Linked DNA regions of Oryctolagus cuniculus. The main gene of each other region encodes a partner of the protein of the gene in region 2 in a complex. Links are inferred from orthologs where the notes say so. Each region holds a gene or a part of one and is shown on either strand. Other genes may lie near its edges.

Region 1 (4,418 bases), on a different chromosome or scaffold from region 2:
TCACAGACTGAACACTCAGCCTGGCAGTGTGTGTGCATCTATGCATGCGTGTGTGTGTGTGAGTGTGAGTATCACAGACTGAACACTCAGCCTGGCAGTGTATTTCCCTCCCCTGCAGGGCCACCCTGCGGCAGGCAATGCGGGGCCCCTTCCTCCCAGGCTGCCCTGCCATTCTCAGCATGCTGCCTCCTGGCACAAGGTGGCTGCTGGGCCCCAGCCATTGTTTCAGCCAGCAGGAAGGAGAAAGACCATGCCGCCTCCACAGAGGGGTCTGCCTCCAGCCCCCTCCCCAAGCTGGGCAGTGAGGCTCTTAGTAGTAAGGAAGGGAGACAGTGCACAGCGCAGGCGCCTCACTGCCCGCTGGACGGGCATCAGCAGGAAAGGCCTGTGGGACACCCAGCTGTGAGCCTTGCTCCCCACTGCTCGGCCGGGGAAACGGAGGCCCAGGCCCACCAGAGGAGACATCAGGGGCCGGGCTCCCTCCTGCCCAGGCCTCTCCTCCCTGGAGCCCCTGGGGAAGAGCAGGGGGTAACCTGGCTGCCGGCCTGGGGGAGGGTCCCCGGACCAGGACGGGGCTGCTGAGCCCCACCTCAGCTGATGCCCGGTCCCCCTCCCTTGCGGACCCCAGCCCCCTGCTGGCTGCCCCTGCAGCCTCCCAGACCACACAGCTGTGGTGGGCATCTCTCTGCCTGGGGAGCCCCTGGGGGCCGCAGCAGCGGGGAGTGGCTGACCGGCCAGGCTGGGCGGGGAGCGGAGGAAGCAGGCGCGGGCCGAGGAGCCAGTACTGTTTATTCCCACGGGGCAGCGGGGTCCGAGGGGCGGGTGGGGGCCAGGCTGGCCGCGCCGGCGGTGGGGGCCAGCACCCAGGTCCCTGTTGCTCAAAGGCTGGCGAGGAGGCTGAGCAGCAGGGCTGCGCCCACGTTTGCCAGGCTGCTCAGGGGCCCGCCGGCCCCCGCCCCCTGCGGGTGGCCGGGGCTGCTGCCGCCCGGCGGCTCCTGGGGGTGGGGGCTGTGCCAGGGCGGGACGTTGCACAGGGTGGACTGGCAGCAGGTCTTGGTCATCTGCATCCCCTCCACCGTCTTGGTGATGGGCTGGCAGGTGTCCGCGCACCACGTCGAGTAGGTGGTCAGCAGGCCCGACTCTGGGGAGGGAGGGGGAGGGGTGCTGAGGCCCGGCCCGGCTCCCCAGGGGCCTCGTGGGGGCGGGGCCGCGGCTCACCGGTGTTGCTGTGGGCGATGAGGGTGGTGCAGGAGGCCTGGCTGTGGGCGCAGCTCTGGGTGTGGCTGCAGCGCTCCTCCCTCTGCAGGGCCTGGCAGGTGTAGCACTGTAGCCGCCCTGCAGGACGGGGCTCGGGCTGAGGCCCCTGCCCGCTGAGGGGCAGTGCAGGGCCCGGGAGAAGGAGCCGGGGCTGTGCGGATCGCGGAGGGTGAACGCCCCCACGAAGAGCCCTCAGCTCCTCCCCGCCCAGGGCTGCCCTGCGGCTCTGCCCGCCTCGCCCTGCCCACCCTCTCCAGGGCCAGGAGCTCTTTCCAAATGGAACCCAGGCCTCCCCAGCCCCCGCTCCGGGCCCCCAGCCCCTTCCCCCTGAGTGAGAGGAGTGGGGTGTGCCAGGCGCCCCTCAGTCGCCGGTCACATCAGCCCCGCTGGCCAGTGCTGGGCGGGGGGGGGGACGGTACCTGTGTCCCTGCTGCCGGCGTTGGCCTGGGCCTCTTCTTCCTCTTCCTCGTCATCGTCGCTGTAGCCGTCCAGGCCCACGTCGTCGTCCTCGCCCTCGTCCTCCTGCGCCCGCGCTCTCCCTGGCCGTGCAGGGGCGCCTGTGAACCCCGGCTACCCAGGCGCAGAGGACACCGCTCGGGGCCGCGCCCCTCTGCCCCCGGGCGCCCCCCCGCCCCGGCAGGGCCTGCTCTGTCCCTGCGCAGCCGGCTTGCTGGCCTGCACGGTGGCCACCAGCCCCAGCAGGTGCTGCGGTGGGCCCTCACTTCAGCCTTGCTGTGTTACAGGGCAGGAAGCTGAGGCCGGGAGAGCCGACGGACCCCCCCGCCCCGCGCCACGACCCCCACCCATGCTGGAGAGGCTGAGCCTGAGGCTGGGGGCCGGGGGGCCCCTCTTCCTCCCCGGGCTCTGCCCCCACACCTGGCTGCCTGCACAGCAACAGGGCCAGGAGCACAGCCCCGAGCGCCTTCATCCCGTCCGAGCGAGCCGGGTCCTCGCACAGGGCTCTGGGCTTGCGCTGAGTGGGACGAAGGGCACTGCTGGGGCTTCCCACGGCCCCCACCCCTGCAGCGGCAAACAATGGTCCCGACTTGGCCCCCAGCTACAGGCGCCAGCCCGGGGACGCCGCTTCCCTCCAGTACCTCTGGGGCCGCGGGGGGAAGGAAGTGGTTGTGGTCAGCACTGGGCGTCCTGTCCACCTGGGCAGCCCCCCCCGTGCGCCTCTCACCCACTCCCTCCAGTCCCTCTGGTCTGCACTGCAGGAGCTGCTCCCAGGAAGACCCCAGGAACTCAGCGGGGGGCAGGGGCTACACCTGCGGTGCCACCTCTACACGGCCCTGGCCAGGGCCAGCTGACCCTGTGGGGGTAGGGAGGGGACGCTCCTCCTTAGCTCCGGGGGGGGGGCACTGCCCAGTCCCGGCCAGAGCCCGAGATTCGCCCAGGGGGAGAGATGGCCTCACTGATCCCAGCTGGGCCACAACGCTGGGGGCCAAACACTCGCAGGTAAATGAGAGCCCAGCCCCCCAGCTCTGTGCACCCTATCTCCTTCCAGGCCTGGCACGCATTGTCCTTCCTGGAGTCCCATCTGGCCAGGCCGAGGGTGGTGGCCCCTGGGTGGGGACGAGGCCTCACAAGGCTGGGGGAGCCGGGTCCCCAACACAGTGCAGACACCTGGCCCCCCATGCATCTCCCAGGCGGACACGGACGCTGGTCCTGAGTGTCCCCCAGGGGCCACATCAGGGCCTGGGTTTGCCCAGCCTTTGCCCTGGGCCCAGCCTCCTCCCCAGCCCAGGCTGCCCCCCACCCCCAGCCATGCCGAGCCCAGTGCCCTTGTCAGCAGTGTGGTCACCCCCGCCCCCTGCCCGCAGCCCCCGGGCTTTGGGGTCCTGGCCGTAACTGGCTCCCGTGCCTGGCTCCCTCCTGTGCCCAGTGTTAGCACCCGGCTCCCTCCCGTGCCCGGCTCCCGTGGAAGTCCCATTGCTCTTCCTGGCAGCAACAGCCTCGGGCTCAGAGCTGGGTGCTGGCCGGGCACCGGGGACACCCGCGGGCACTCGCACTCCCTCCTGCTGGGCAGGGGCTGAGAGTGGAGGTGGGTGCAGGGGCAGGGGCAGTGCTGGCATGGAGCCGATGGGGCCTCGTCTGGGCTGCGAGCCCCCTGCTCTGTCCCCTCCCGCAGGAGGGCTGGAAGGGACGGGGGCGGAGTCAGCTGTGAGACTGGAGAGGGGACGCTTGGACCCCCAGGAGAGCAGGCCACGGGGGTGGGGGTGGGGGGCCATGGCTCCCTTCCCGCGCTCCCCGCCCTCTGCAGCCGGCCCTCTGCTGACTCAGGGGCTTTGAGCCGGCTCTGGCAGGCTGCCGGGCTGGCTTCTTAGAGCAGCGTCAGACCCCCTCCCGGGAGCGGGGGGGGGGGGCAGGAAGGGGCAGGTCCATGAGGGGCCAGGCAGGTCCAAGCCCCCTTTGTCCCTGAGCACAGAAGGAGGCAGGCGTGGGCGGGGTGGGGGCGCAGGCTCTGGCTGCCCTCCCCACGGAGCCCAGGCCCCTGGGGGGGACGCACCCACACTCATGGGGGCATTCGCCCCCTCCCAGCCCCCGAATCCGCTGGGCCTAGACCCCTGCCCCACCCTGACTGCACCGCCCAGAGCCCACTTCTGAGAAAGCTCCTTTTCTGGGACCCCAGAGCCGTCCGCTGGCTGGCACCAGCTCCAGATGGCACCTCGCTCCCCGCCCCCGCCCAAGCCTGTCGGCCCCCTTGGGGAGCAGACGCCCGGGGCCCTGATGTGGCGGCGCAGCTGGCTGAGGCGTCGCTCGTCGCTCCTGACTGCAGATCCGGCCCCAGCTGCTCTGCTGCCCGCCCCCCTTCCCGCTAACGCCCCGGGAGGTGGCTGCTGCGGGCATTTGGGGTGTGAACCAGCCGATGGACAATTTCTGTCCCCCTCTCTCTGCTGCTCCGCCCTTCAAATAAACAAATCCAGAGAATCCTCAAAGAAAATGCAGCAAACAGCACTGCAGGCATGGGGGGGGGGCGGGGGACCGTACGGCGGAAAGCCCTTCTGAGGCTGGAGGCCGGGGTCAAGTTGCCGGTGATTTCGGTGTCCGGGCTGCTCTCCGGCTCTGTGTCGGCTCCTCAGAGCTCCTGGGGGCCTCCCCCTGGGGGCTCCTCACTCACTCAGGACCTGGTCAGCACTATCTCTGGATCTCAGGCCTCT
Region 2 (4,616 bases):
CCCATCCACATCTCATCAACACTCAGTGTGCTATTTTATTCTTTTCTCATATCATAAACATCTTATTATTTTAGGTGAGTGTCAGAGAGGCAGAGACAGAGAGTAAGAGAGATACGCAGTGAGCTCCCGATGACTGGGTCACTCCCCAGATGTTTGTCTGCAATAGCTGGGGCTGGGCCAGGCCAAAGCCAGGAGCTGGGACCCCAATCCAGGTCTCCCTCGGGAGTGGCAGGGACTCAGTTACTTGAGCCATCACCACCACCTGCCAAGATCTGGGTTAACAGGAACCTGGAGGCAGGCATCAAACCCAGGCACCGGGGGATGCAAGCATCTTAATCGGCATTTGAACCACTAGGCTTGCTGCCCACTCCAGCACTGGGTATTTTTTTAAAAAATCTGTTCATTTATTACTTATAAAAATAGATCATAAACTTGACTTAATGTTGCATTCCTCTGATCAGTAATATGTCATGGTTTTTACTATATGTATTTTCTGTATGTCTTACATTTACATTTATAGAGTGATTTCCTGTTCCTGTTGTCCATTTTCTTTAATGTCAAGTCTTTTCAGGGGATTTAATTATTGTTTATTTTAAATAATTGTATAAGAGGAAAAAGCAAATGCAAAATGATTCAGGAAAGGAAAAATTATAGATAGTAAATGAAAGTAAAATGAGCAGGCACTGGCCTCTGCCTGCAGTGCCCACATCCTATATGGGCACTGGTTTGAGTCCCAGCTGCTCCATTTCTGATCTAGCTCCCTGCTAATGAGCCTGGGAAAGCAGCAGAGGACGGCCCAAGTACCTGGGCCCCTGCATCCACATGGGAGACCCAGAAGAAGCTCCTACATCCTGGCTTTGGCTTGGCCCAGTCCTGGCCGTTGTGGTTATCTGGGGAGTGAACCAGTGGATGGAAGATCTCTCTCTCTCTCTCTCTCTCTCTCTCTCTCCCTCTCCCTCTCCCCCTCCCCCATAACTCTGCCTTCAACTCAATAAAATGCATCTTTTAAAAAAGAAAGAAAACAAGATGGCCCCAGTTGAGAGGATTTTCTTTCCCAACACAAAACAGAGCGAAGGCCCAGTTTCTCCATCCAGAGCCTGTTTTCTGGTACAACATCCCCTTCTGTTTCTCAGACTCAAGCCCACGCGTGGCAGGCAGAGCCCCGGGACTACTCACAGGGTGAAGGGAATGTTCTCACTCTCGGCCACGGTGCCGTACAGAGAGATCTCGAAGGCCTGGTTGGTCTGCGTTTGGCTTTCGGTCCCGGAAAAGTGGATCTTTACTTGGTAATGGAAGACTGTAGGGGAGGAAGGCAGGGCGAGTGCCCGTCAGTCTTTATAGAAACCCCACGGCCCACAGTTGGGTGATGCAGGCCCCCGGCACGCATCTCGCCGGAGACTCACAGGGAGCACGCTCATTCCACAGTGTCTGCCTGGCTCAGGAAGGTTTGCTCGTGAACACAAAGTGTTCACACCTAGAAAAATCCAGAGCCTCAATTCTATACCCTCACAGAAAAGTGTGCTTGGAGCATGCCCAGCGGAGGCAGGAGTCTTTGCTGGGCTCCTGGGAAGGTTAAACTGAAAAGTCCCGAGTTGCACCTTGTCTTGGGCATTTTTTTGCTTTAGCAACCTGCACCGCGCAAGCGCATCCGGCACCTGTGCCCTTGCAAGATGGGTGGGTGTTTCTTCCTGTTCACCAGCTTTTTGTCCACCCCACCCCCTTCCTTGACTGCAAGCTCCTTCCAGTCAGACCACCTTGTGTTTCCTCTTTATTTGAAAGAGAAAACAGCAGGCCTGGAACGCAGCTGCTATGACATGACAGAGGAAAGTGAGGTTGGGCCAAGGCACACTCCGGGAGGCGGCCGCCATGGCTCCAGTCACTGGGTTCCTGCCACCCACGTGGGAGACCTGGATGGAGCACCGGTCTCCCAGCTTTGACCAATGGCCCAATCCTGGCCATTGAAGGCATTTGGGGAGAGAACCAGTGGATGAGAGCTCACTCTCTGTCTCTGTCTCTGTCTCTGTCTCTCTCTGTCTCTCTCTCTCTCCCTATCTTTCAAATAAATAATCTGCTTTTAAAAAAAAAGAGAGTTATATTGATGCTTTTTCTTCTGTATCTCCAGATAGTTGGCCACATGTTTTCTTACTTCTCACTTATATTGCTGTCTATTAAACATACTTTCTCTTCAGCTAGGACACAGATGTCATAATGTTAATGGTTTAGAATTTGGCAAAGTCCAGCTGTGGGCTGCATGAGTGGTTTGCTCTGATGAACCAATTCCCAGGACCTTGCATTGATGGGGAGCTTCCAACAACAACCCCTACTTTGTTTACAAATTTCTCTTTTGACAACAAAAATAACAGCCAGATACTGGCTATAAACAAAACAAAAGAAAACAAAACAAAATAAAATCCTCACAGCTACTAAGAGAGAAGAGGATATGAGTTCGCAGTCAAACGGAGCCCTGGGAGGCAGCACTAGAGGCCAGCGTGGGGGAAGCTGGGAGCTCCAGGTGACCCTGCACAGGTGACCCTGGAGTTGGAAGGGCGGGCTGCCCAGGTGAGTGAGGGCTTCTGTCTCCAAGATAGAAGCCCTTTCCGATCAAGGCCGGCAGCGATTACAGACGTCCCAGAATCGCGGCTGTTGGCGCGGACCTTCGGTTTCCACAGCTAAGAGGTCGCAGCAGGAAAGGATGAGCGGAACCCTGGGAAAGGTGCTGTGCCTGAGGAGCAATATCATTTTTAAGCAAGTGGTTTCCCTCTTAAGAGTCAGAACTTCAGGAGAGAATCCCATTTATTCTGCAGGTGGCATTCTACTGAGCACCAGTCGGCACTACAAGTCAAAACCCACCCATGGCATTGGACGATACAAGCACCTAATTAAAGCTCAGGAGCCCAAGAAGAAGAGGGGAAAAGTAGAAGTGAGACCCATCAATTTGGGGACAGATTATGAATATGGGGTTTTAAACGTTCACCTCACTGCCTACGACATGACCCTGGCAGAGAGTTACGCCCGATACATTCACAACCTCTGCAACCAGCTTTCCATTAAAGTTGAAGAAAGTTACGCGATGCCCACCAAAACCATGGAGGTGTTGCAGCTGCAGGATCAAGGCACCAAAATGTTCGTGGACTCAGTCCTTACCACACACGAGCGAGTGGTTCAGATCAGCGGTTTGAGTGCTACATTTGCAGAGATTTTCTTGGAAATAATCCAGAGTAATCTTCCTGAAGGAGTCAGACTGTCAGTGAGGGAGCACACCGAAGAAGACTTCAAAGGACGGTTCAAAGCCCGGCCTGAACTAGAAGAACTATTGGCCAAACTGAACTAGCGCACATGCATTCATGCCAGCACTGGTGAGAGCGAGTGCCACGGAGAGGACCTTCCTGAGTGTCAGAGCTAAGCAGGAGAACCTAATCCTAGATTTCATAACTTCTTGTTCCCGTAGCCAGGAATGCCTGCTCTCCCGTGGCTGTGCTTGCCACTTCTCGCCCCATCTCCCGTGTCTTCCATTTAATAAAAATCTGTCATCAAAAAAAAAAAAAAAAAAAAAAAAAAAAGAAGCCCTTTCCATACACACACTTCCTGGTTCTGAAAAGTCAGGGGATCCCAGGGTTCCCTCCCGCCTCTCTAAAGGGGTTCCTTGAAGGACAGAGGCTCCAGCCTCCATGCCACCAAATGTACCTGTGCACATTCCAACAAGCCACATTTACGTCTGGGCACCTACAGCAGATGCGTTGTTCCCTTGGGAAGTTCTCCAGTGGCGCTTGCCTCATGGCACAGCGGGTTCAGCCGCTGCGGGCGACACCAGCATCCCCTATCAGAGCTGGGTTTGCATCCCAGTTGCTCCAGTTCTCATCCAGCTCCCTGCTCATATGCCTTGGAAGGCAAGTGGAAGATGGCCCCAGCACCCAGGTGGGAGACCCAGATGAAGCTCCTTGCTCTTGGCTTTGACCTGGTCCAGCCCCAGCTGTTACAGCCATTCAGGGAGTGAACCAGCAGATGCAAAATCTCTCTCTTCTTCTCTTTTCCCCTCTCTCTCTGTGACTCTGCTTTTCAAAGAAAACAAATCTTAAAAATAGGAAGTTATTCTTTTTTTAATTTTTTAATTTTTTAATTTTTTTTGACAGGCAGAGTGGACAGTGTGAGAGAGAGACAGAGAGAAAGGTCTTCCTTTGCTGTTGGTTCACCCTCCAATGGCCACCGTGGCCGGCGCACTGCGCTGATCCGAAGGCAGGAGCCAGGTACTTATCCTGGTCTCCCATGGGGTGCAGGGCCCAAGTACTTGGGCCATCCTCCACTGCACTCCCTGGCCAGAGCAGAGAGCTGGCCTGGAAGAGGGGCAACCAGGACAGAATCTGGCGCCCCGACCGGGACTAGAACCTGGTGTGCTGGCGCCACAAGGCGGAGGATTAGCCTAGTGAGCCGCGGCGCCGGCCCGGAAGTTATTCTTTATTTGTTCCCTTGCTCGGGCTGCCCCTGGACTGCACGGAAGCCTGCTTTCCTGACATGTGCCTCTCTGCCCCTGCTCTCCGCCTACTCCTCTCCCATTTCCAACTCCGCTCCTTTAGGTCTTGCCCTAAGCAAGAGGTCAAACTTGAAATCCAAGTGGGGAA

What was found. The genes of interacting proteins can lie anywhere in the genome.
Region 1: the proteins of LPL (region 2) and GPIHBP1 are in contact, whole or in part, in a crystal structure (PDB 6OAU), measured with the Homo sapiens proteins. The link is inferred for Oryctolagus cuniculus from reciprocal best matches to the Homo sapiens genes LPL and GPIHBP1. Residues at the interface, in NP_000228.1 of Homo sapiens: Tyr367, Gly368, Thr369, Ala371, Glu372, Glu374, Leu403, Met404, Lys406, Lys430, Lys440, Ile443, Cys445, Ser446, Arg447, Glu448, Val463, Lys464, Cys465, His466, Asp467, Ser469; in NP_835466.2 of Homo sapiens: Cys68, Lys69, Ser70, Leu92, Ala94, His95, Gly96, Asn97, Thr98, Glu99, Ser100, Leu103, Thr104, Thr105, Ser107, Trp109, Cys110, Thr111, Asp112, Ile117, Lys119, Val121, Glu122, Thr124, Val126, Met128.

What each region holds. Positions count from the first base shown.
Region 1 is NC_091437.1:167,323,450-167,327,867, reverse strand, and holds GPIHBP1 (glycosylphosphatidylinositol-anchored high density lipoprotein-binding protein 1), read right to left. Parts: upstream 2,372-4,418; 5' UTR 2,186-2,371; coding exon 2,134-2,185; intron 1,797-2,133; coding exon 1,677-1,796; intron 1,409-1,676; coding exon of another isoform or gene 1,336-1,408; coding exon 1,219-1,335; intron 1,142-1,218; coding exon 879-1,141; 3' UTR 772-878; downstream 1-771.
Region 2 is NC_091439.1:2,927,211-2,931,826, forward strand, and holds part of LPL (lipoprotein lipase precursor), read right to left. Parts: intron 3,564-4,616; exon of another isoform or gene 3,332-3,563; coding exon of another isoform or gene 2,693-3,331; exon of another isoform or gene 2,606-2,692; intron 1,298-2,605; coding exon 1,177-1,297; intron 1-1,176. Other genes in the region: large ribosomal subunit protein mL48, read left to right, coding at 2,693-3,331. UniProt on the Homo sapiens protein: Key enzyme in triglyceride metabolism.